Schizosaccharomyces pombe: one gene and its partners. The protein of the gene in region 1 interacts with the protein of each later gene in a biochemical or structural test. Each region holds a gene or a part of one and is shown on either strand. Other genes may lie near its edges.

What was found. The genes of interacting proteins can lie anywhere in the genome.
Region 2: the proteins of rad9 (region 1) and rad4 form a complex in vitro, tested with the Schizosaccharomyces pombe proteins (2 studies listed by BioGRID).
Region 3: the proteins of rad9 (region 1) and ape2 form a complex in vitro, tested with the Schizosaccharomyces pombe proteins (one study listed by BioGRID).

What each region holds. Positions count from the first base shown.
Region 1 is NC_003424.3:1,712,077-1,719,441, forward strand, and holds rad9 (checkpoint clamp complex protein Rad9), read right to left. Parts: upstream 3,641-7,365; 5' UTR 3,461-3,640; coding exon 3,356-3,460; exon of another isoform or gene 3,303-3,355; coding exon 2,969-3,302; exon of another isoform or gene 2,912-2,968; coding exon 2,298-2,911; exon of another isoform or gene 2,242-2,297; coding exon 2,014-2,241; 3' UTR 1,844-2,013; downstream 1-1,843. Other genes in the region: ribosome biogenesis protein rlp7, read left to right, coding at 741-863, 1,081-1,707; bfr2 (traub family ribosome biogenesis protein), read right to left, coding at 4,137-5,337, 5,399-5,498, 5,545-5,592, 5,635-5,644. UniProt on the Schizosaccharomyces pombe protein: Acts in DNA repair and mutagenesis. Involved in promoting resistance to ionizing radiation and UV light, as well as regulating cell cycle progression after irradiation. Repressor of entry into mitosis that is activated by chromosome breaks.
Region 2 is NC_003424.3:1,056,565-1,064,757, reverse strand, and holds rad4 (BRCT domain protein Rad4), read left to right. Parts: upstream 1-1,845; 5' UTR 1,846-1,896; coding exon 1,897-1,962; intron 1,963-2,019; coding exon 2,020-2,127; intron 2,128-2,193; coding exon 2,194-3,966; 3' UTR 3,967-4,012; coding exon of another isoform or gene 4,013-4,049; 3' UTR 4,050-4,087; coding exon of another isoform or gene 4,088-4,615; 3' UTR 4,616-4,653; coding exon of another isoform or gene 4,654-4,920; 3' UTR 4,921-4,980; downstream 4,981-8,193. Other genes in the region: DSIF transcription elongation factor complex subunit Spt5, read right to left, coding at 1-891; trm402 (tRNA (cytosine-5-)-methyltransferase), read right to left, coding at 4,013-4,049, 4,088-4,615, 4,654-4,920, 4,981-6,135, 6,244-6,293, 6,343-6,363; autophagy-associated lipase Atg15, read left to right, coding at 7,343-8,193. UniProt on the Schizosaccharomyces pombe protein: Essential component for DNA replication and also the checkpoint control system which couples S and M phases. May directly or indirectly interact with chromatin proteins to form the complex required for the initiation and/or progression of DNA synthesis.
Region 3 is NC_003423.3:2,411,394-2,418,622, forward strand, and holds ape2 (aminopeptidase Ape2), read left to right. Parts: upstream 1-1,584; 5' UTR 1,585-2,113; coding exon 2,114-4,762; 3' UTR 4,763-5,148; downstream 5,149-7,229. Other genes in the region: SPOM_SPBC1921.04C (uncharacterized protein), read right to left, coding at 1-11; pvg3 (galactosylxylosylprotein 3-beta-galactosyltransferase Pvg1), read right to left, coding at 5,773-6,909.

The DNA of each region.
Region 1 (7,365 bases):
GTCGTATTGATAGAATAACCTTGTAATTTCATTTTGAATTGCAAGGGCTTTCATGCATTTTCTTACAGTATATGTAAATTTGTGTTTATCAATTGTTTCCTTTTAATAATTGCTTTCTGATTTTTATAAATGTATATGATTATTTTACATAAATTGCGTGTGGAAAACTATATTTCATCAATGTCACATTTTTTTTTTCAGTTTAGGATGAATGACATTTAAACGGCTACCCTAAGAAGTTAAGGGCTAATAATACAATTATTCAACTTCTCATGTGTTTTCGCACTGTTTCGATTAATGTTGTGCAAAATTTATCATCTCCATATCCCACGTCCCTGAGGAGTTTGAGCACCAGGTGATTACATTCAACATTGATAATATTCCTATTAAAATCGTTTGTATATCTTTTAAACATGAATTTCAATGGTACAAGGTCAATTAGATAAAGTTTGGTCTTGGTTATTAGAAAGAGATGCTTCGATATGGAAGGAGCAATCTACTATTGTGCAATTTTTGTTATATTGTCAAATTAAATTTGCCATAGTTTTTAAACACCATTTTTTACCTTTAAGTACACATTTCAAAGCCTATTTGAAAATCGCTTCAAAATTTTTTTGCGCTTATTAGCGGATTGTAACGAAGAACATTATGTGTCTTAAAGCAGTCACATTTCATAGCTATAATTTTTCGTCTGTCTATAGTCCCAACGTGCCCTCTACTCGTTACTAACAGACGATAAAATGGCGGAGGATGCACCGGTTGTACAACAGACTATGCTTGAACCTGAGGTGCTTTTAAAAAAGCGCAAGGTCAATGAGCGTACTCGGAAAGAACGTGTTGAGCAGGCTATTGCCAAAAAAGAGGTATGTGAATTGCTTGTTCTACAGGTTTGAAATATCCATAATATACATATTTATATGAAAAAGATGAACCTTTCACTCTTGGATTGCTAGTTTCGACGATGCTGCTCCAAAATACCATCTTTCGGCTGATTCATATATTTTGTATTGGTTAAATTTAAACCTTTGACTTCATCAATTTTTATATATTGTTAAAAACATTTTACTAATTTTACTCCAGGCCCAGAAGAAAAATCGTAAAGAAACCTTCAAAAGGGCTGAGACTTTTATTAATAACTACCGCCAACGAGAAAGAGAACGGATTAGGTTAAATCGATCTGCGAAAAATAAAGGAGACATTTTCGTGCCTGATGAAACAAAACTTCTTTTCGTTATTCGAATTGCCGGAGTCAAGAATATGCCTCCTAAAATTCGCAAAGTTCTGCGCTTATTACGCCTTTCTCGAATTAACAATGCCGTTTTTGTGCGAAATAATAAAGCCGTTGCTCAAATGCTTCGAATCGTCGAACCTTATGTTATGTATGGTATTCCCAATTTACATTCTGTTCGTGAACTCATTTATAAACGTGGCTTTGGTAAGATCAATGGTCAGCGTATTGCTCTCTCTGATAATGCATTAATTGAGGAGGCCTTGGGCAAATATGATGTTATTTCCATTGAAGATATCATTCATGAAATTTACAATGTAGGCTCTCATTTTAAGGAAGTTACTAAATTCTTATGGCCATTCACTTTGACTCCAGTTAAACACAGTTTGATGGAGAAAAAGGTCAAACATTTTAATGAGGGTCGAAAGGCTGGCTATTGTGGAGAAGAAATTAACGAATTGATTAAGAAACAAGTTTAAAACTTTCTTTGAGTTCGTGTAATGACTTAAATTTTGCATTCAGATGAAAATGCAAAAATGTATATTAGACTTTTTATAGGCCGTGGATTGGAATTTAATTAATTGGGTTACATTATTCACTATCTTATTGATTTATTAGAACTACTATGTAACGTATCGTATGATGAGGGTAATTTTGTAGTTAAAAAAAACTAAATTATTGATAAATATTGTACATTATATAATATGAGTGCTGTGTTTTATGAGGTTGTCACAAGCACCTGTAAATGTTCATAATTTTACACACCATAGCAAAGAAGGATTTTCCTAGTCTTCCTGAGAGAAAATGCCATGATAACTTTGTTCAGCTTGCGTTGGTCCAAATTCGGCATCATCGTTCACATCATTATTAAAAGCAGCAAGCTCGGATTCATTAGGAATACCATCTAAGAACAATGATTGACCAGCATCGTTTGTGGTTGATGGCTCCTTAATGCCATTAGTTTCGTCGCTTCGGTCAAGCGCAGAATTAAACATTCTGGATGAGTCACTTTGCTATAAAGTTAATGTTAATAAATTATTGTACTTAGTACTAAAGCCGAATTACATACATCAGTTTGCCATCCAATAGATCCAGGGGGATTATGTGCTACAGCAGTCAATGAGTTGTTGCGCTCTACTGAATTGAACAGAGAAGCTGGTGTTGAACTGTGCTGCCATCTATTTCCCATCATAGATGACACCTCTTGTTCATCTGATCCAACTACAGTTGCAAGAATGAACTGCGCTTCAATTTCGGAATTTTTCCCTTTTGCAAAAGTTAAAAGTATCGGTTTTCCTGGGACACCGTAATATGCACAAATCGAGCTTCCCAATGCCTCTGCTAAAATGACGGCAGCACGAAATTCACGTAGAGAAAGGGTAACAGAGACTCCCTCATTAAGTGCGACGCGTTCAAATTCTTTACCATCAATGGAAACAGTTGTTTGGGTAGGTTGCTTCAAAATATCTCTATTATGTACGACCTCTTCTGTGAAACTTGTAAGTAAAACACGTTCTTGAAGTGGTTGAATTGTAAGCTCTTCCGTTCTCTGACCAAAATGTTCAGTCAAATCTTTTAGAATTTTTGAGTTTATTTGAAAATTATTGTGACTAAGAGATTTATCAAAAACAGCGTGTAAAGTTTGGGTTTGTTCATATGATATTTTATATGTTTTAATCACTCCTTGATGAATAAACGTTAGTAGAGCAAATAAAATAATAAGACGGACAAACTACGTACCGTGCTTGCATAAGAATTTAAATATAATCCTACACTCGCTACCAGTAGAGATTGAGATTTGAACATTCTCGACAATCACATCTTTTCTGCTTGCAGATTCACTGCCATAACCGTTCTTGCTATTGGTAGTGACGACAGTCGGGATGAAATCAAAGATTTTGTTTCTAAACACAGATAGTATGGGCTTGACTTGCGTACGAATACGTATTGTAGGAGTCATCAATCCCGTCAACAGGACGGAATCCGGCTGAAAAATGTACTTGTCAAAAAATGCCTTTTTTAAAGTCACCATGCTAAATCCTGACCTAGAAGAATTTAAACATGTAATCTCTATCTTTACCAATTAGTTTCAATGTTTAGTAAGGTTTGAAAAAAGTTCCAACACACCTGATTTTTGTTAATTTCCCAGTTGACAGCATCATCGATTCTAGAAAGATTTGTAAAGATCCTTGCGAGGTCCCGAAGATTAACATTTGAAACAGTGAATTCCATTTTATATACCAGTACGTGAATTGATGTAGACGAATGCTGAACGAATAACGATAGTTTCTAGTCGATATGACGATTAATTTCTTAATTCATGCTAATAGAAGTAAATAAATCTCGACAATTTTTGACAAACAGAATTGAAACTGGTATATACAGAGGTAAATCTATAATGTGGTGTTTTCTAGCACCTGCTTTAACGCACTTATATTAGTATAGACACGCGCGCCGAAATTTGTACGAAAGTGTAATGGCCAACATCAATCGCAAAATAATCTGTATATACACAATGAATTGTAATAAGAAGAAACTTATAGCTGCTTTTAATTTGCAGCAGAAAGAGTTCAACTGTACATCATATAAACGTACATACTTTTATGCTTAAAATACTAAAGTGCACAAAAACTAAAACCTTCAGCCCAAGATAACCCTTTATTACTTGTAATTGCCCGACATTGTGACCATCTATGTAACCATATATATGTTAAATTTTTTTATTAACCTAAATAATTGTAAACGAAATATATTATAATAGAACCAAAATCCGCGAATGCCCTTTTTAAAACCGAAAAAAGATATACTGTAAGTAAAAATAATCATGCACCCTAAATGTTTAGCACAGCTTGCGTATATTAAAAAAAAGACAAATAGTGAAGCTTATCCAACACGCACAAGCTTATTTTCAACCGAAGAGAGAAAATCCGTCGTTGGAAGAGATCAGTTCATCATCCTTCTCCACGAAGTTTGAAGTATTTGTATCATTAGCTGTCTCTGATAAATCTAATTGTTGACCCAACAGACTACTAAACAAATCTTCAGTTTGTTCATCCGGCCATACAGTCACTTCAATGGGAGCCATAAAATTTTGTAATTTATCATGAACGTGATACCTTATTTTTCGACCTTTGGATGCCTTAGTATCAACGTTTTCTTTCTTCTGTTTTTGCTTTTTTGTAGCCATCCAACGAACAGTGCCATCTCGAGTAGAGTCTGCCATTCTAGAATTAATGAAATCCTTCAATAATGATTGATAAAAATCCGTGTCGTTGTAAATTTCGGGATTGAAAGTTTTGTTGTTAGGGTCACTGTAATCAATTCTAGTGCGCTCGACCAAATCTTTCTTGTTAATCATAGAATTTTCGATTTGTTGAACAATACTTTGATTTAGAGCCTTGAATTTGTTAGATTGCGAAATCCCTTGCACTGCTTGAACCCGATTATGCCATTTGGTTAAAGTATCATTTTTCCACTCATTCAAAGAGTCGTCAAGGTTATTCATTTCTAAAGCAATTTCTTCTAGACTAACAGGATTCTCTTTTCTTTTTGATCTACTGTCAAGAATTTCCACTCCAGAGTCAATAAGTAAGTTTTTCCTCAGCTGTAAAGTGTGTTGAATAAAAGATACTAAACCATCTCGGGCTTCTACTTTATCACCTTGAAGTTGGTTGCTGGAAGAAAGAAGTTGACTACATCCTTTTTGAAGACGGATTCTAGTATCTAAAACATTATCGTAAAAACGCATCTGCTCCTTCAAAGCTAAACCCTTTTTCATGTCTTCAAGGGCGGATGTACGAATTTGATCAGATAGCTTTTTCTCTCCATTTATAATCTTTTTTAAACGATCCATGTCTTTTTCAGGAATGGCAGAAGATTGGTCGTCATCTTCATTTTCCTCAGAAATTGATGAAGCTTCTGAGCTTGAAAAATTTTCGTGATCTTCTGAAACTGCATCATTTTCGTCTTCCTCCGAATCTTCTTCTTCAGATGGTGATGAAGATTGAGAGTTTAAAGAACCGCTATTAAGTAATTCCTGGCGAGACGTTTTTCTTCCTTTAAATTTTGGGTCTAACTGAGGAGCCTGTTTTGAGCGTAATTTACTTTCACTATAAAATATGAAACATTAGTATAAGCTCAAATACGCAAAAGTAAAAATTTTGAACATACCTAACATCAACATAATGTTCTCTCCCTAAGGTATCGTTTTCTTCTTCGCTAGAGTCCTCTCTATCAGAGAATGCGTCCTCTAAAGCTTCAGGGTCTCTTTCTATTTATGTGAGTAAGAATCCCGGAATTTTTCGTTAATAACATACCCTGCGGTTGAGGGTTTAGCATCCCTGCCAATTCATCTTTTAAAGAAACTAAAGATTTATTAGAACCTAAAAATATCTTATTGAACTTACCTTTACCCATTTTGAGCAAATTTTGATGTGTCTGGGACTGGGTAAGTGAAGGGGTGTGGGTTAGCAAAATTATCATTGTATGAAATAAATATAAGAATGAAGTTTGAAGGCATTTATCGGATTCAGCTAGTACAGACGAGGTTATATTACTTTGTTTGAAATAAATAATATGGTTTTTATGAAGCAACCAAAAGTTGAAAAAACGAACACAGCACGAGAGTTGATTATATTAGTAAAACGACGTAGAGAATGCAACCGACTAAAGTATCGATTTTTAAAGGGCTAAAAATTGTTCGTTAAAGCTCAAGGTAAAAACTCGGAAATTCCCCACATCTTGCTTCTTTCTGTCTAGACAATGTAACTAAACAATTACCAATTTATTATTTTATTGTTTGACTGTGTATTATGCTAACGAGTATTATGTCTCTCTAAAACTGTTATAAGAATAGGAGTTGAGTTTTGGTAAGTGTATGCTTGCTGTTTCCAATAAAAGCGGTCTCTATTTAACTTGTTGCTTATTTTTAAAAAGCAAAAAAATATCTTAAAACAGTGTTGATTTTAAGTAATGTTTACAATTAAATTCAAAAATTTCGTTACACATACGATTCGAAAATGGGGTGCTGCTGTAAAAGAACGAGACGTAAACTCTTATACTTAAAAAAATAAAATAAAATCTAATTTGTTTTTTTTAAAGTTTCATACCTTGCTTTTGTCAATATTATTCCAATACCCTTGCATACTGCTTTTGCTCAATAATATTTTAAATCGAATCGGTAACAGAGTATATGTGAAAGAAAATAAAAACATTTAAAAAAAAGTTTTTCAAAAAATCTGGAACCAAATGAATTGGGCATTGAAATACTATTTGTCCTTGATAAAAATCTTTGCCCATGTAAATAAATCCAGGATTAGACTAACACATCAAAATTTGAATTAATCGATGAGTTAAAATGAATCGCTTTCGACCCTATTATATTAGTTTTATATCAACTATAAGAAAAAAGTTCCTAAAAACAATTTGTAATATCATAAACATCGATGTTGCAAACCATTATTAGACAGATAGATGAAAGACTACAAAATCAAATACATTTAATACCGATTTTCTATTATCTATCTTTCATGGAATATCCATTTTCAAAGTGCTCATTCATAAACATTGAATGAATTGTGCATTCATCGCCATATTATTCGGCCTCGCTTACTAGTCGATCAATTGGGATTTTCGAAGGATCTACCTATCGATTTAGAAATTTTTTGCCAATATGCGGTTTTTAAAAACAAAAGATATGAAAGATATTTTAGTCAGTAAAATGCATTTGTTAGTTTTGCCGGCTTCACAGTCAAAACCATGTTTTCGGTTGTATAAATTAGATATGTGGTTTGCTCCACCAATTTGCCTCCCGCTTATTTCTCTCAACTTGCACGCACACAGCAAACTCGAGCCGTTCTCTTGAGAAGCAAGGATTTCTTCCGTTGAATTTATTTAAAGCTAACGCTATTCAATTATTGATTAGCCTTGTTGATTTCTTCATGCTAATATCGTAAAAAAAAGGTGTAGAAGTTGCGGTTGGCTTTCTTTAGTCCATTTTGGGTCATTTTTCCCCAAAAATTAAATTTGTTAAATTAGAAGTTCTTTTCATTTTCTTCATCCATACCCTCTTCTCAAAGGTTTTGTGCAAGATTCCTTAATCTTGGTAAAGGTATTTTTTTTAAATTTAATTTCATTCC
Region 2 (8,193 bases), 660 kb from region 1:
ATGTGATTGCTTTCGAGCTTCAACGTATATATAACCGACCAGCGAGTCACGTTGAAATGCTGAAATGATTTCTAATGGAGAGCTAGTATATTGCAAATCCATAGCTTTCCGCATTATGGTAAAAACAATATCCTTTTCTTTGCCAATTTTACAGCGAACAGCCCAAATATTGGGATCATTCACTGAAGGAAGTAGAAGACGTTGGGGAACATTGCTTGTATCTCCAACAACAGTTTGGCTACGACCATACTTTTCACGATACTCCTCAGCAAGGCGTTCAGCATCAACAGATTGTAGTTCCTGTCTTTGACGGTCAAGTTCACGATGGCGACGATCATCACCGACGTAATCCGCTCCAACTTCTTCTTCAATGAAACCATCTTCACGACCAATTTCATCTTCCTCATCTTCAAGCTCTTCCTCGTCCTCATCTACTTCTGCTTCAATATCAAGGAATTGGTTGCGGCGGTCATGGCGAGCCCTTTTTCTTCTACCGCCACCTGATTCATCTTCATCTTCCTCGTCTTCCTCATCATCTTCTTCATCCTCTTCTTCCTCTTCGTTTGCATCAGCTTCTTCCTCGTTTTCTTCAACATTATCCTCATCTTCTTTTTTGTCATTGTTATTTACATTATCGACTTCGTTTTCATTCCCATCTTCGCCTTTATTAATTGTGGTATCATTTGGACTTTCGTTATGGGAATCCACGGGAGAACTCTGTTTTTCATTTGTAGTAATTTTAGCAGCTTCAGAATCATCATTCAGCAAGTCACTTCCATTGGGGGATGCACGGGTAGAATTGATTTTAACTGAAGCAGCATCTTGCTCAGCTGCATCTACCTCAGTCGAATTTGCATCTTTATCAATAGATTTCGGAGAATTCGTATCCATTGTGACTTAAAAAAGAGGAAATAGTACCTATTCCCTCAATGCTTTGTTTTTAGACCTTTAATCTAATATAGGCGATAGGTTCGCCGATTAATGAACTTTTTATTCAACAAGTGGTGTTTTGTTAAAGGTGACTTACAGTACGTACTGCTGCCCTATTTTACCAAGCAAGTAGGTCTTGTATGGCTTGCAGCGACAAGAGTATAGATATACGAAAGAAGCAATTTAGAATGGAATACTTACGGTTTTTTTGTAAAATCAAACTTTTGCTTTAAAAGTATTTGCTTTAATGGTAAGCTTGAGCAATTGCCACTGCTGGTAAACAAACTTGTATACACGAAATGCCATACACAATCTTAAAGTTAGACTTGGTTTAATTGAAATTAAAGATAATGGGATGCTCAGATTATCAATAAATTCATCTTACATTTAAATTGTAATATTATGTTATATTCCATATAACTATGAACCCTTTAGGGCAATATCCCTTTGCGTTACTAAAATCCAATATAAATATTAAACTGGATAAGAGGATATTTTTTACCGAGAGAATATAGGACAAAGGTGGTGTCCATATACTATCTTCTTACTCAATAAATCTTATAATTATGATACAGGTTAAATGAGGAATAATATAATAGCCAGCTCTTGGTGCTTGTTCATAATTTCCCCCAAACCAATGATGCTACTCAGCTATACAGCATCGTGTACATTGCCAATACAGTCGAGTTTTTCGAATAAATGCTTAAAATTTAATTTTGGCCTTTTATGACTCTCCATTTGTCAATCTTCGCACCCACCACGGTAGCATATAACAACTTGGTTTTAGCTTCAATCTACTCTTAACCTTCGAAAGTCGATTTTCTCTAAACATTCTTTATTTTCCCTTTTAAACATTACCAATTTTTGCATTTCCTCACAATAATATGTAGTGGTGATGGACGCGTTTGTACTCGTAAATTACCTATACCTACTCACCTAGAACTCATAAATGTCGGTAGTGAAAGAATGGGTTCTTCTAAACCACTCAAAGGCTTCGTGATATGTTGTACCAGTATCGATTTAAAGCAAAGGGTAAGATTTTTGCACGACGAATCGCATTTTTTGTTATTTGTGTTACTAACTTGACAGACCGAGATATCTACAAAAGCAACTAAACTTGGTGCTGCCTATAGATCAGACTTTACTAAGGATGTCACGCATCTTATAGCCGGCGATTTTGATACTCCAAAATACAAGGTATGTCGTAAAATCTTACAAATTACACTATCCTTCAAGAGTAAATGCTGACATTCTTTTCAATAGTTTGCCGCAAAATCCAGACCAGACATAAAGATTATGTCTAGTGAATGGATACCTGTTCTTTATGAAAGCTGGGTACAGGGAGAAGATCTGGATGATGGCCTGCTCGTCGATAAACACTTTCTACCAACTCTATTTAAATGCCGGGTTTGTCTTACCAACATTGGCCAACCAGAGAGATCTCGTATTGAAAATTATGTGCTTAAGCATGGTGGTACATTTTGCCCTGACTTAACTAGAGACGTAACTCATTTAATAGCTGGCACCTCATCGGGTCGCAAATATGAATATGCATTAAAGTGGAAAATCAACGTAGTTTGCGTTGAATGGTTATGGCAAAGTATACAAAGGAATGCTGTCCTTGAGCCGCAGTATTTCCAATTGGATATGCCAGCCGAAAAAATTGGACTTGGCGCGTATGTTCGTCTAGATCCCAATACTACGGAGGCAAAGTCTTATTCTGAAAACCAAAAAATAAGCAAGAATAAAGAAAAGTCTGGTCAATCCTTGGCTGCATTGGCGGAGGAAGCGGATTTAGAACCCGTGATTATGAAACGGGGAAAGAAGAGAGATAGAAGTATTTTATGGGAAGAACTTAATAATGGAAAATTTGAATTTTCCAGCCGTTCTGAAGAAAATTCAGTACTACTGGATGATTTCACTCCCGAAACTGTTCAACCCTTAGAAGAAAACGAATTAGATACGGAACTCAACATCGAAAACGAAGCTAAACTTTTTAAAAATTTGACTTTTTATCTTTACGAGTTTCCAAACACTAAGGTCTCCAGGCTTCATAAATGTTTGAGCGATAATGGAGGCCAGATTTCTGAATTTTTGTCTTCTACCATTGATTTTGTCGTTATACCTCATTATTTCCCTGTCGATGAATTGCCCATCTTCTCATTTCCTACAGTTAATGAGTGGTGGATAGAAAGGTGTCTTTATTACAAAAAAATCTTTGGAATCGATGAACATGCCTTAGCAAAACCTTTTTTTCGTCCATCTCTGGTTCCTTATTTTAATGGTCTTAGCATTCATCTTACTGGATTTAAGGGGGAAGAACTTTCGCATTTGAAGAAGGCTCTCACCATCTTGGGAGCAGTTGTGCATGAATTTCTTGGGGTCCAACGAAGTATTTTGTTGGTAAACACAAATGAACCTTTCAGTATGAAAACTAGATTTAAAATACAACATGCTACAGAATGGAACGTTAGAGTCGTCGGAGTAGCTTGGTTATGGAACATCATTCAAAGCGGAAAATTCATTGATCAAGTTTCTCCATGGGCTATCGATAAGAAAGAAAATCAAGAAATAAAAAAATTTACAAACCAAAATAATATGGTATTTCCAACGTCTGATAGAGATACACGATTACAAAATTCTCTTGCTCAGCAGCCAATAGGACATTCTACGCCTCATAATTCTCCTTCCTTATTATCGGTTAAAAAGCGCCAAAACAACCATATTAGGTCTAATACATTGATTCAACTAAATTCTAATTCAAAAGATTCAACCATATTTCCTCGGAGATCCGTGACAGTACCGGGCGACAAGATTGATACTGTTTGGAAGTCATCAGTTACAAAACCAGAAACTCCGACATCTCCACAAGAGCATGTTTCATATATAGATCCAGACGCTCAACGTGAGAAACATAAGCTTTATGCTCAGTTGACTTCTAATGTAGATGCTATCCCGCCTGCTAATGATCTCCAAAATCAAGAAAATGGGCTTCTATTAATTACCGAGAGTCATCGAAAACTCCGTAGGCGTTGAAACATTGTTTATTTATATGTATAGTTTATGTCAAGTTTAATTATTTTTACACGTCCATTCCAAATAATTCCAACGAAAGATTTCTTAAAGTTAGTAACAAAAAACATTAAACGTGACTTACTGCTTCTCTTTTCTAGCAAGCATTAAATTACAGCTCGTAGGGCTTCGCCAGATAGGCTGTAATATTAACATATCCATGAGTGCACCATCTTTTGTTTGAGCATCCACTCTAAGGATGTTACATCCTAGAGGCATTTTTTCAAATTCCTTTTTTAACATTCCGCTCTCAGAAAACTGCTCAACATGTGGGTACTCGTTTTTAACCAAAATTTTTAAATCTTTTAACCCAGCATCGTAAAAATGCTTCTCGTTTAAGAAAGGGCTAATGATATTGACACCGTTACTATGAATACGAAAATTGCAAATATCTTTGTTAGCTTTTAGCGAGAAATCTTTCAACAGTTGACTGATTTCCTGCTTTACAAAGAATCTAACACCGCCGTGCACGAATTTCACACGATTCGTGTTGGCTTCAATAATTTCTTTGAACAAAGAACATGCAAAATAAATTGATCTAACGGGAATACCGCTTTGATTTCTAACAAAAAATTGATCACGGGGAAAACTAGGATCGATACCATAAAAATCACTATGGGTTAGTTTGCCTGCCATGGTAATATAACTTACACAATAGTTTTGATGCTAGTATCATCAGGATTAATGTATACGAAGGGCTCTTCATCAAAATAACTGTTGCCAGATTTAGTTAATGTAGAATTAGAAGCTTCGTCAACACCCTTTTCCGTCCTTTGTCTCTTGTTCTCGGGTGGTAGAATTTCCATACTAGCAGTATACTTTTTGGGATCAAACGAACGGGAATTAATAGGATCAGTTTTTTGGAGTACGGCCACAAAAAAACCACCAGTATTCTGCATATGGGGATATAGTCTGGCACTATTAAGAGATTAGAAAATGATAAAGTTTCAAAGTTCTCATCCAGGCAAATAAACCTACCATCTTTCTATGTGGAGTTTGCTCATTTCCTCCTCAGGAAGAGGCCACATGGATTCGGTTAACTCGATCTTATCATTGGTGTTCTCAGCAGGTGATTGAAATTCGTTAAGAGAATCATCCAAAACCTTCCAAGATAAAAGACCGGGATCACGCTTAAGTAGGGGTAGTTTTTTAGACACATCAACAAGAGAAACTGCACCACCAGTAGCCTTCAATGCAGCTGTTACAACAGCTTCATTTTCTATGGGATTAATGGAGCATGTTGAGTAAACCAAACAACCACCCACTTTTAAAAGTTGCAATCCTCTGATCAAAATTCTCAATTGCAAAGGGTGAAGGCTAAAGGCGCTATTGGCACTCCATTCCCTCCAAAGAGACAAATTTTTGCGGAAAGTGCCATCTCCTGAACAAGGCACGTCGGCTAAAATACGGTCAAACTTTAAAATTTTTTTTTCTTCAATTACATTTAAGCCGTCAGAAGGAGATGAACCTTTGACATAGATATTGGGCATTGTCGATGCATCGTGATTAACAACCAAAATATTCGGGGAATTTAAACGATTGATTTGGTGAACAAGCATTTGGGCTCGTTTGGGATCAGCGTCATTAGCAATTACAAGACCTTCAACACTCTTGAGATTTTTGCTGTCATGAGCAGCATCCTTGATATTGGCTTTTTTATAAACAGCTTCAATAAGCTGCGCAGTCTTAGATCCCGGAGCAGCACACATATCCAGAATTACATGATGTGGCTCAACGTCTAAGAATAGAGGAGGAAGCATGCTAACCGCTTCTTGACGATTAATGTTTCCAGCTTCATTTTCACTTACAAGAAACCGCTGAAGTCGTTTAAGAGGCGGGCTCTTTCGAATAACATCTTTTTGCGCATCGACAATATATGCAAGACCATCTGGGTACCAAGGCAGCACTGTTGGAGGTGGAATAGTTTGACCCTCATGGACGACATTTTTAAGGCTTGGTACGTAGTATTTTTCAAAATGGTTTTTTAGTTCAAAAGCATGGTGACGATATCCACAAATACGAAATGTAGTTGGTAAGGGCTTTCTCATATATTCCATAAAGCTATCAAACTCATCATTTGGCTTTCCTCGAAATAAATTTTGCTTTTTATAGTAACCTTCGAATTGTTTATTTCTGCATGTTAGCTGACTATTTCCTACAATAATGATCTTTTCAATGTATTTCTTAAAAATATCCCAATAAAGCTTTAAACCCCGTAAAAAAGCACCTTTGTACACTTACTCTAAGACAATTTCACTTTTGTCATTGTAAGCCCTTTTGCCCTGAGTCACCTATCTTTGTTAAAAAAAAAAAAGAAGGCCGATTAACAAAGTATCATACCTTTTTATTTCTTTTCCCCATTACAAACAATAATTTACTCACAAACCAGAGTTCAGTGTTTACTAGACATAAAAATTCAACTTCAATAGTGTTAAGCAAACTTTGCAATGCAATGTGTCTTTATTTTTTATTTACGAGACCTAGCACTTCTTTGAAAAAATGTTTATCGCTAAAATAACGATAAAGATCATGCTAACTAAGGTTCTGACGCTGAACAAAACTGCTGATTTGCATTTGTATTTGGAAGGTCTTGGTGACTTTAAAAACAGAAAATTCAGATTGGACATCTAAATTCTTCCAACTGACTTTAAAAATGTTTACGTTGATATCGTTATCAGTATGCGTATGTAGGAGAATATATCCATATATGACTTTATTCTTTTAGGGAAACAACAAGAGCTGCGCATACTGCTAATATAGTTAAATTTCAAGCGTTCATTATTGCCATTAAATAGGTTACCGCTAAGCATGGGAATAAAAAGCACCTAATGTGCTACTATAAAGCGAAGGATGATTAATTCATACCTTGTCCTCCATAGCAAAACATGTTACATTTGCAAAGTCTTTTCTGAGAAGGAACATTGCCGTATTTAGGAACAATATAAATAAATCTTACAATCATAGCATTATTATAGTCTAAGGCTCCGGTATCGTTATGAAGAACATGTCACAAAACCTGTATGCCATACATTCATCCTAAATTCACAAATTACAGTGTCCATTACCTAGATATTATATCAAATAGCGACATTATCAGCATACAACACCACGCTATGATGCGTAACTTACTGCAGTGTAATGTATTAATTATTGCTTACCAAAGGCGTTAAGTAACTTAAAACATCTATTTATGAGCAACATAAACGAGTTAAGCATGTACATGAGCTGATAAAGCATAATCATTGAATTATCCCATTGTATTTATTAGAATTGAGGATTAGATTCGCATAACGTTTTTCGGTTGCTCTTTTAAACAAAAGGAAAGCAAACTATTCATGCAATGTCTCAATTGCTATTCTTGAGGCGCTTTTTCTTCCTTTTTTGTTTCATCATTAGGATTAGTTGTACAGGAGTATTTGAAAGTGTTATCAAATCTTCGGAAAATGTGCCTGATAAGGTTAATGTCAAATTACAGCATGTATTTCATTACGGACTCAATGAGGACAGTATATCATATTATCGACTAGATGTGGCCAAGAAAAGTGTTTACGCAGAGAGTGAATCAAAATTGCCGTTGAAAATGAAGAAAGGATATTCCGTTCACTTGAAGGATCAGTCTCGCGATGCGTTGACTGATTATAGATATAAGTCTATGAAAGGAATTTATTCTGAAGCGAATTCACCAGCTGATTTATGGGAACAGGAAGCAATCGTGATTCCTGATATTACTGATAAAGAAACGATTTACTCCCTTGGAAAGATGAGCTACAATGCTTACCAAAAAATTCCTTTCGACGGGGACTGGTTAGATTTAGGACCTGATTGGAATATAACTCCACCTGAAGGATTTGGTTGGGAGGAAGATGGTCTACGTGGACATGTTTTTTCCAATGATGACAATTCCACTATAATTATTGCGATGAAAGGTACGTCCATCTTCGGAATCGGACGCGGTACCTCGCAGAAGGATCGCGTTAATGACAATTTACTTTTTTCCTGTTGTTGCGCTCGTGTCAGCTGGGCTTGGTCTACGGTTTGTGGTTGCTATAAAAATACATACACCTGTAGTCAAACTTGCCTTGAGGATGAAGTGCAAGATGACTCAAGGTATTATTCTGCATCATTGGATATTTTTTATAGTGTTAAAGAATTATACCCTGATGCACAGATTTGGCTGACTGGACACTCATT
Region 3 (7,229 bases), on another chromosome or scaffold:
GTATGACTCATTAATGTTTTTTAATTCATTTTAATATTATTCATGTTATGTGTTGGTTGTATTTGTCTGTCTTGTGTAAATTTTGGTTGTATTCGTGGGTTTTAAAAACCTGCTGTTTACTTAATTTTGAATTATCGAAATTTCTTCCATTTTTTAGTGTTATAGGGACAGCTTGTTTGTCGGACAGGATACTCAATGGGTTTAACAAGCTACGTTCATTTCTATTTTGTCACTATTATGGCTGTAATGTGAAATATCATAGTTGATTGTGCCGTGGATAAAAGAAAAAATCCTAGTGTTCTTTGCTCTGTCTTCTCCACGGGTATTAACAATGCACATGCTGTATGTCGTTTAACGTTTAGATGCATTTCATATTTGTTCACCTTATCGTTATCTCTGTTGTATCTATTAAGTTCCCACACTGGGGCACTAAAATGGTGCGGAAGGATCCTATAATCGTAGGAGTCGTTGGTGTTTCTCTGCAATATCCGAGGATCTTATCTTATAAAAGGAGGTATACGGCACATTGCAAAAGAAAGTCAATTATCAAAATTGTATTGTAATTTTGTTTCCAGACAATTTTACCCTTGTTTATTTTGTTACGGTAAGTATTAAAAAATATGATGTCGGGAATGAAGAAACGATGAGAGCGATTAAGTGACATACAAACGATTTATTAGATTGGAATTGAAATTTACGTTCGTTTGGCGTAAATTCTATGATCGTGCTACCAAATATGTAGAAATAGACTTTGGTATTAAAGGAGGATTGACAATAAGCGAGTCGAGCAGTAAGTAATTATATTCTTGGGCAAAAATTTTTTTGTCATAAGACATGCACTGCCGATTTCATTTTTCTTAGGCAAAGTAGAAAAGCTCCGCAGCAATCTTAGAAAGAAAGGCAGTTTGTAAATAGAATCAAACAATCGTTACCACCGATGAGACCAAGTATTTTTGGCTTGGACGAGCTTTACTGTTTTTGAAGACCAAATATTCTAAGCCTAATAAAAACGCCTTGCTATGTGAGGGATAAATCTTTTTTTTCTTGTTACAAGTCTTGCCTTGAATTGTCTATTCTATTTATCGACGGTAATTTTAGCGCTTCGGAACCAAGAAAAGTGATGTAGTTTTTTCTGCACAAAACGGTAATATATTTTTGCGTGGTTTTATTCTAAACATCGAAAAGCTCCGGTTTCTTTAACTATCTCATCTTCCACTGAGTGATAAAGTCACCAACATTAGCACATTCGGGGGATTTTGAAATGTTTTCTCTCAACTGTCAAGCTACAAGATGTGTTTCTTCTTGTTTTACATTTAATATTTTTTATCTTAAAAAAGCAGCAGAATTCATAGCATCAATCAATATCTAACTAGTTGCTTCTGTTTTTGTTTTAAGGAGAGCTCGTTTATACTCCCTAAAATCACCTTGGATATGGGATTTCGAGTCGGTTACGACATTGGGGTTTATCATTTGTTGTTGTTACTTTAAAATAAGTTGTTTATGATACTTATGTTACGTGAAGAAACTATGCTTACTCCATCAGACGCTTATATATCCTGGGCACACACACATAGTGCTTTCACCAACCTTCTACTTACACCAACTACCTACTTAACCATCTTCATTGGCAGCTTAGACCTATTACATCTTTTCGTCGTTTAGTGTCTTTACGTTTTTCGTTTGTTGCTTGGAAAATATCATTACGTTTAAGTGTGTAATCGTGTGCTTTTCAGCGTTGTTGGACAAATTATCATCTGTTCCATCCCGTTTCCCATCGTTCTCATTTCCACAGCGTGGAAAACGACATCTACATTTCTTTGACTATTAAAATTTAAAATTAACGTTAGGTTTTTTAAGATTAATTAAGGAGTCTGTTGAATTACTCTATCGATCGTTATCGGCTGTTTGTTTGTTCGTATCGATACTTTTTCTAACTAACTGACTCATCGTTCGTAATTCCATCTTCCTACGGTTTTTGTACCATTATTTAATTAGTTGGCAAATTCTTCCTTCACCTTTCCCACTATCGTATCACATTTGCTCTATTCAGCTTCATTATTGCTCTGGCTAGTTTAGCTGTATTGATTTTCAGCGTTATTTTTCTTTTGTAAAAATGCAAGTCACCATTCCTAAATCTACTTCTAAGGAAGACGATAAAAATCGGAATTTGCTTCCAAAAAATGTTAAACCCATCCACTATGATTTGAGTTTATATCCAGATTTGGAGACGTTCACTTACGGCGGTAAAGTCGTCGTTACCTTGGATGTACTTGAGGACAGCAACAGTATTACTCTACATGGCATTAACCTTCGTATTTTGACGGCTGCGTTAGAATGGGGCAGCCAAACCGTCTGGGCCAGCGAAGTCTCTTATGGGGATGAGCGTATCGTTCTTCAATTTCCCTCCACTGTCCCAGCCAACTCTGTTGCTGTTTTGACGTTGCCTTTCACTGCCCGTATTTCCAGTGGCATGGAGGGTTTCTACCGCTCTAGTTACGTTGACAGCGATGGTAATACCAAGTATCTTGCCACGACCCAGATGGAGCCTACTAGTGCTCGTCGTGCTTTCCCCTGCTGGGATGAACCTGCTTTGAAAGCTACCTTTACCATCGATATCACTGCTAAGGAAAACTATACTATCCTTAGTAACATGAATGCCGTTGAGGAAACTGTCAAGGATGGTTTGAAAACTGCCCGTTTTGCCGAAACTTGCCGAATGTCCACTTACCTTTTGGCTTGGATTGTTGCCGAACTCGAATACGTTGAGTATTTCACCCCTGGCAAGCATTGCCCCCGTCTTCCTGTTCGTGTTTATACTACACCTGGGTTTTCCGAACAGGGTAAATTTGCTGCGGAATTAGGTGCTAAGACCTTAGACTTCTTCTCTGGTGTATTTGGCGAGCCATATCCTTTACCCAAATGCGATATGGTTGCTATTCCTGATTTTGAAGCAGGTGCTATGGAAAATTGGGGTTTAGTTACCTACAGACTTGCTGCCATCTTGGTTTCTGAGGATTCCGCTGCTACTGTAATTGAACGTGTAGCCGAAGTTGTACAACACGAATTAGCCCATCAGTGGTTTGGTAATCTTGTTACCATGCAATTTTGGGACGGCTTATGGCTTAATGAGGGTTTCGCTACCTGGATGTCATGGTTTAGCTGTAACCATTTTTACCCTGAATGGAAGGTTTGGGAATCTTATGTTACAGACAACCTTCAATCTGCTCTTTCGTTGGATGCACTTCGTTCCAGTCATCCTATTGAAGTTCCCATTATGCACGATTACGAAATTAACCAAATATTTGACGCTATCTCTTACTCTAAAGGTTCTTGTGTTATCCGCATGGTTAGCAAGTATGTTGGCGAAGATACGTTTATTAAGGGTATTCAAAAATACATTTCTAAGCACCGTTATGGTAACACAGTTACGGAAGACTTATGGGCTGCCTTGTCGGCAGAATCAGGTCAGGACATCTCTTCCACTATGCACAATTGGACTAAGAAGACAGGTTATCCCGTGCTATCCGTTTCTGAAACCAATGATGGAGAGCTTTTAATTGAGCAACATCGATTTTTGTCAACAGGAGACGTTAAACCCGAAGAAGATACTGTAATTTATTGGGCCCCCTTAAAACTTAAAACGATGAAGGATGGTAAAGCAGTTGTTGATGAAAAAGCTGTGCTTTCAGACCGATCCAAGAAAATTAAAGTTGATAAAGAGGCTCTCGAATCTTATAAGCTAAACTCTGAACAATCTGGTATCTACCGTGTTAACTATTCTGCCGATCATTTAAAGAAGTTATCTCAAATTGCGGTTGAAAAGCCAGATTATCTTAGTGTCGAGGATCGTGCTGGTTTAATTGCCGACGTCGCTTCTCTCTCGAGAGCTGGCTACGGTAAAGTTAGCAGCACTTTAGATCTTATCAAAACTTGGAAAGACGAGCCTAACTTTGTAGTCTTTGCTGAGATGCTTGCCCGCTTGAATGGTATAAAGTCCACTTTACGTTTCGAAAGTTCTGATATCATTGCTGCAATGAAAAAGTTAGTTCTGGAGGTTTCTGCTACTAAAGCCCATTCACTCGGCTGGGAATTCAAGGCAAATGACGATCATATCATTCGCCAATTTAAGAGTACAGTATACAATTATGCCGGTTTGTTTGGTGATGATAAGGTGGTTAAGGATGCACTTTCCAAGTTTGATGCTTACGCGTCTGGTAATAAGTCCGCCATTAATGATAATTTGAGATCCGCCGTATTTAACATTGCAATTCGTTATGGTGGTGCTAAGTCGTGGGATCAACTTCTTGAAATTTATACTAAAACTAATGATCCTTATGTCCGTAATAGTTGTTTGAGAGCCTTTGGTGTTACTGAAGATGAAAAGTATATTCAAAAAACTTTGGATTTAACCCTTGACCCTATTGTCAAGGAACAAGATATTTATCTTATTTTGGTTACATTGAGTACTCACAAAAACGGTGTTTTGGCAATGTGGAAGTTTGCTACTTCTAACTGGGATAAGTTGCTTTCAAGACTTCCTGTTGCTGGTACAATGCGTGGCTACGTTGTGAGATTCGTAACAAGTGGATTCACTCATGCCTCCGCTATTGATAAAATTAAGGAATTTTTTGCCGATAAAGATACGAAGTTGTATGAACGTGCACTTCAACAATCTTTGGACACTATTTCTGCTAATTCAAGTTTCATCGACAAATCACTGGATGATATCACTCGCTGGCTTAAGGAGAATCGTTATATGTAAGTCTTTGCATATTTAGAAACGGTATGTGGTGAATGCTTAAATTGTGGCATTTGAAACTGTCAAGTTGATCACCATGTTTTTATGAACGATGACTACTGCAAGTTATGTATATACTGATGGACGACGCCTTTACTTAGATTGCATACATCTATGAAATTTTGATTTTTGAAACTGACGTAAAATACATTTAAAGTTTTATAAATTTATGTTATAACAGTATGTTGTTTACTCCACACTGGCACTTTACTATTTTCAGTATACACCGACATCAACTAAAGGTGTGCAAAACGAAGGTGAATTACTGAATATTAACTGGAACTAATGTAACTTTAATTTCAATCATATAATAAAACGCTAATATAATAAATTTCTCGTATCGTCGGCCCTTACGCCAATCGCCTAAATTAATAGGACATAAGAGTAAGGTTCTTTATCAACGAGTTTTGATCTCGAGGTCGCAAAGTCTAAAAAGACTCTGGCAGTAGCATACGTACTAATTCACATAACCACCGTGGCTGACCCCTTAACTTTTTGATTAAAGAATAATGTAGCAAGCGCACTTGTTTATATAGTAAATTACATTTTTTAATAGGGTAGGGTTGTGACTACCTTAACGACTCGGAGCTGGTACTGTCATATCGCTGGTTTGAAATAACGAAATTTAAGGAGAAATTTAGCCGATTTCAAGGAATATTTTGATTGTATCTACATTTACTTGAAAAGACTTAATGTGTTTGTTGCAGATAGATGAGCATCGATTATACTTATATTTTTAGTGACTCAAAAAATCTCTAGCTGGTTTAAAAATGCATAAATTAAAAAAAATTAGAACGTAGAAAGAACTATGTTAACAATAGATGGCGGTTAAAACAAATTGAGAAAAGATTATAAAGAACGAAGCATTAGTAGATATGAAACATGTGTAAACGTTACGTTACGCACGGATCAAATAAATGAAACATAAACGAAGAATAATGCATATGCAAAGAATAACGATAGAGGAGAAACGATTAAACGTCCAAAGAAGGTAAAGGAATTGTTGCCTGAAGACACGAAAGTCGTTCAGTTTCTATCAAGGCACTGCAATTGGCACGATGTTCATACATTTTTTTAAACCAATTGCTTACCGTCGACAAGAGAGGGATGCTTTTAAGCTTATGGACGGCAATGGCGTCAATGCGTAAATAGCTTTGACGATAATTAAAACCTTCGTTGGGTAAAATCAAATCATACAATGTGCATTTAGAGAATTCCGCATTTTTTACATTACCGGAAAGGTAAATGCTATAGCCGGTCTGAGCATCTTCAAACGGAATAATAATATTACGGCGTTTAGCCACCTCATAAGCCATATCAGGAGATACTATATAGAAGAACCCGCACATGTACGGGAAGTCACGAACAGCGGTAGGTAATTCTCTTCGTGTGCAATCCCTTCCAAAATAAAAGCGGCTTTTCCCAACGTGCTCTTTCAACATTTCAAACAGACGGGGTAAATTCAAGAAAGAATCGTCATCGGCTTTAACAATAAAATCGTAGTCATGCTTTGGCTCGCCGAGATCTTGGAATTCCTTCATACCAGGCAACTCATATGTCTTAATACTTTGATTATATATAAAACTACCATGAAACTGAGTGCTGGGCATTATAAGATTATCTGCAAGTTCAGAAAAAAGAGGAAACGGCTGGTAGCCCTCTAAAAATGTTTGGAAGTATACAATGGACTTTCCAGCATCCACATTCTCCGGAATAGGTAGTACTGCTAAGTCACCATACGTTCGCTGCTCTTCGCGAATGGTAGCTAATTCCTGCTCATTCTCAGGTAAACCAAGGATAAATCTAACATCCACAGTATCATTTACGGCAAACTCCTTAATATATTCATTATAGTCGGTACGTAAAAAGTTACGCCTATCCACGTTCTTAGCTTGACTAAAAATCCCCAAATACAGTTTGAAAGGTCTGTCGTTCGCATGGGCAAGCGATTCATTTTGCTTAATGAAGGGATCTAAAAACAAATTCTCTACGTAGGCGAGTGAATGTTCTTCGGCCTGTAGACGATTTAGTACAAGAAAAGCAAAGGAAAAAGTAGCAACACCGGCAATTAGCACGTAAAGAAAAATTTTTTTTTTAGAATTTGAAAACATAGTGAAAGAGTTTAATTAAACGAGCACGTTGCGCCAGGAGGTCAATTAGAGAGACGTGAATATTAATTGTCCCTTTGAATAAAAGAATAAAATAAAACCAAACTTAAAGATCGTTGAGAATTAAACAAAAGACTCCTTGAATATATGAGCCAGCAAACAGAATATAACTCTGAAAGGAGTATAATGTTTGGTTCTGAAAACAAAGCTGTGCTTGGTGCCATATTCACGTCCACCATAAATACGCAGTCATAATGTAACCAGAAGAGCAGCTACTCAAACCCTTAATGCCCTCATAGCGTTGGTAACTATAAATGCGTTAA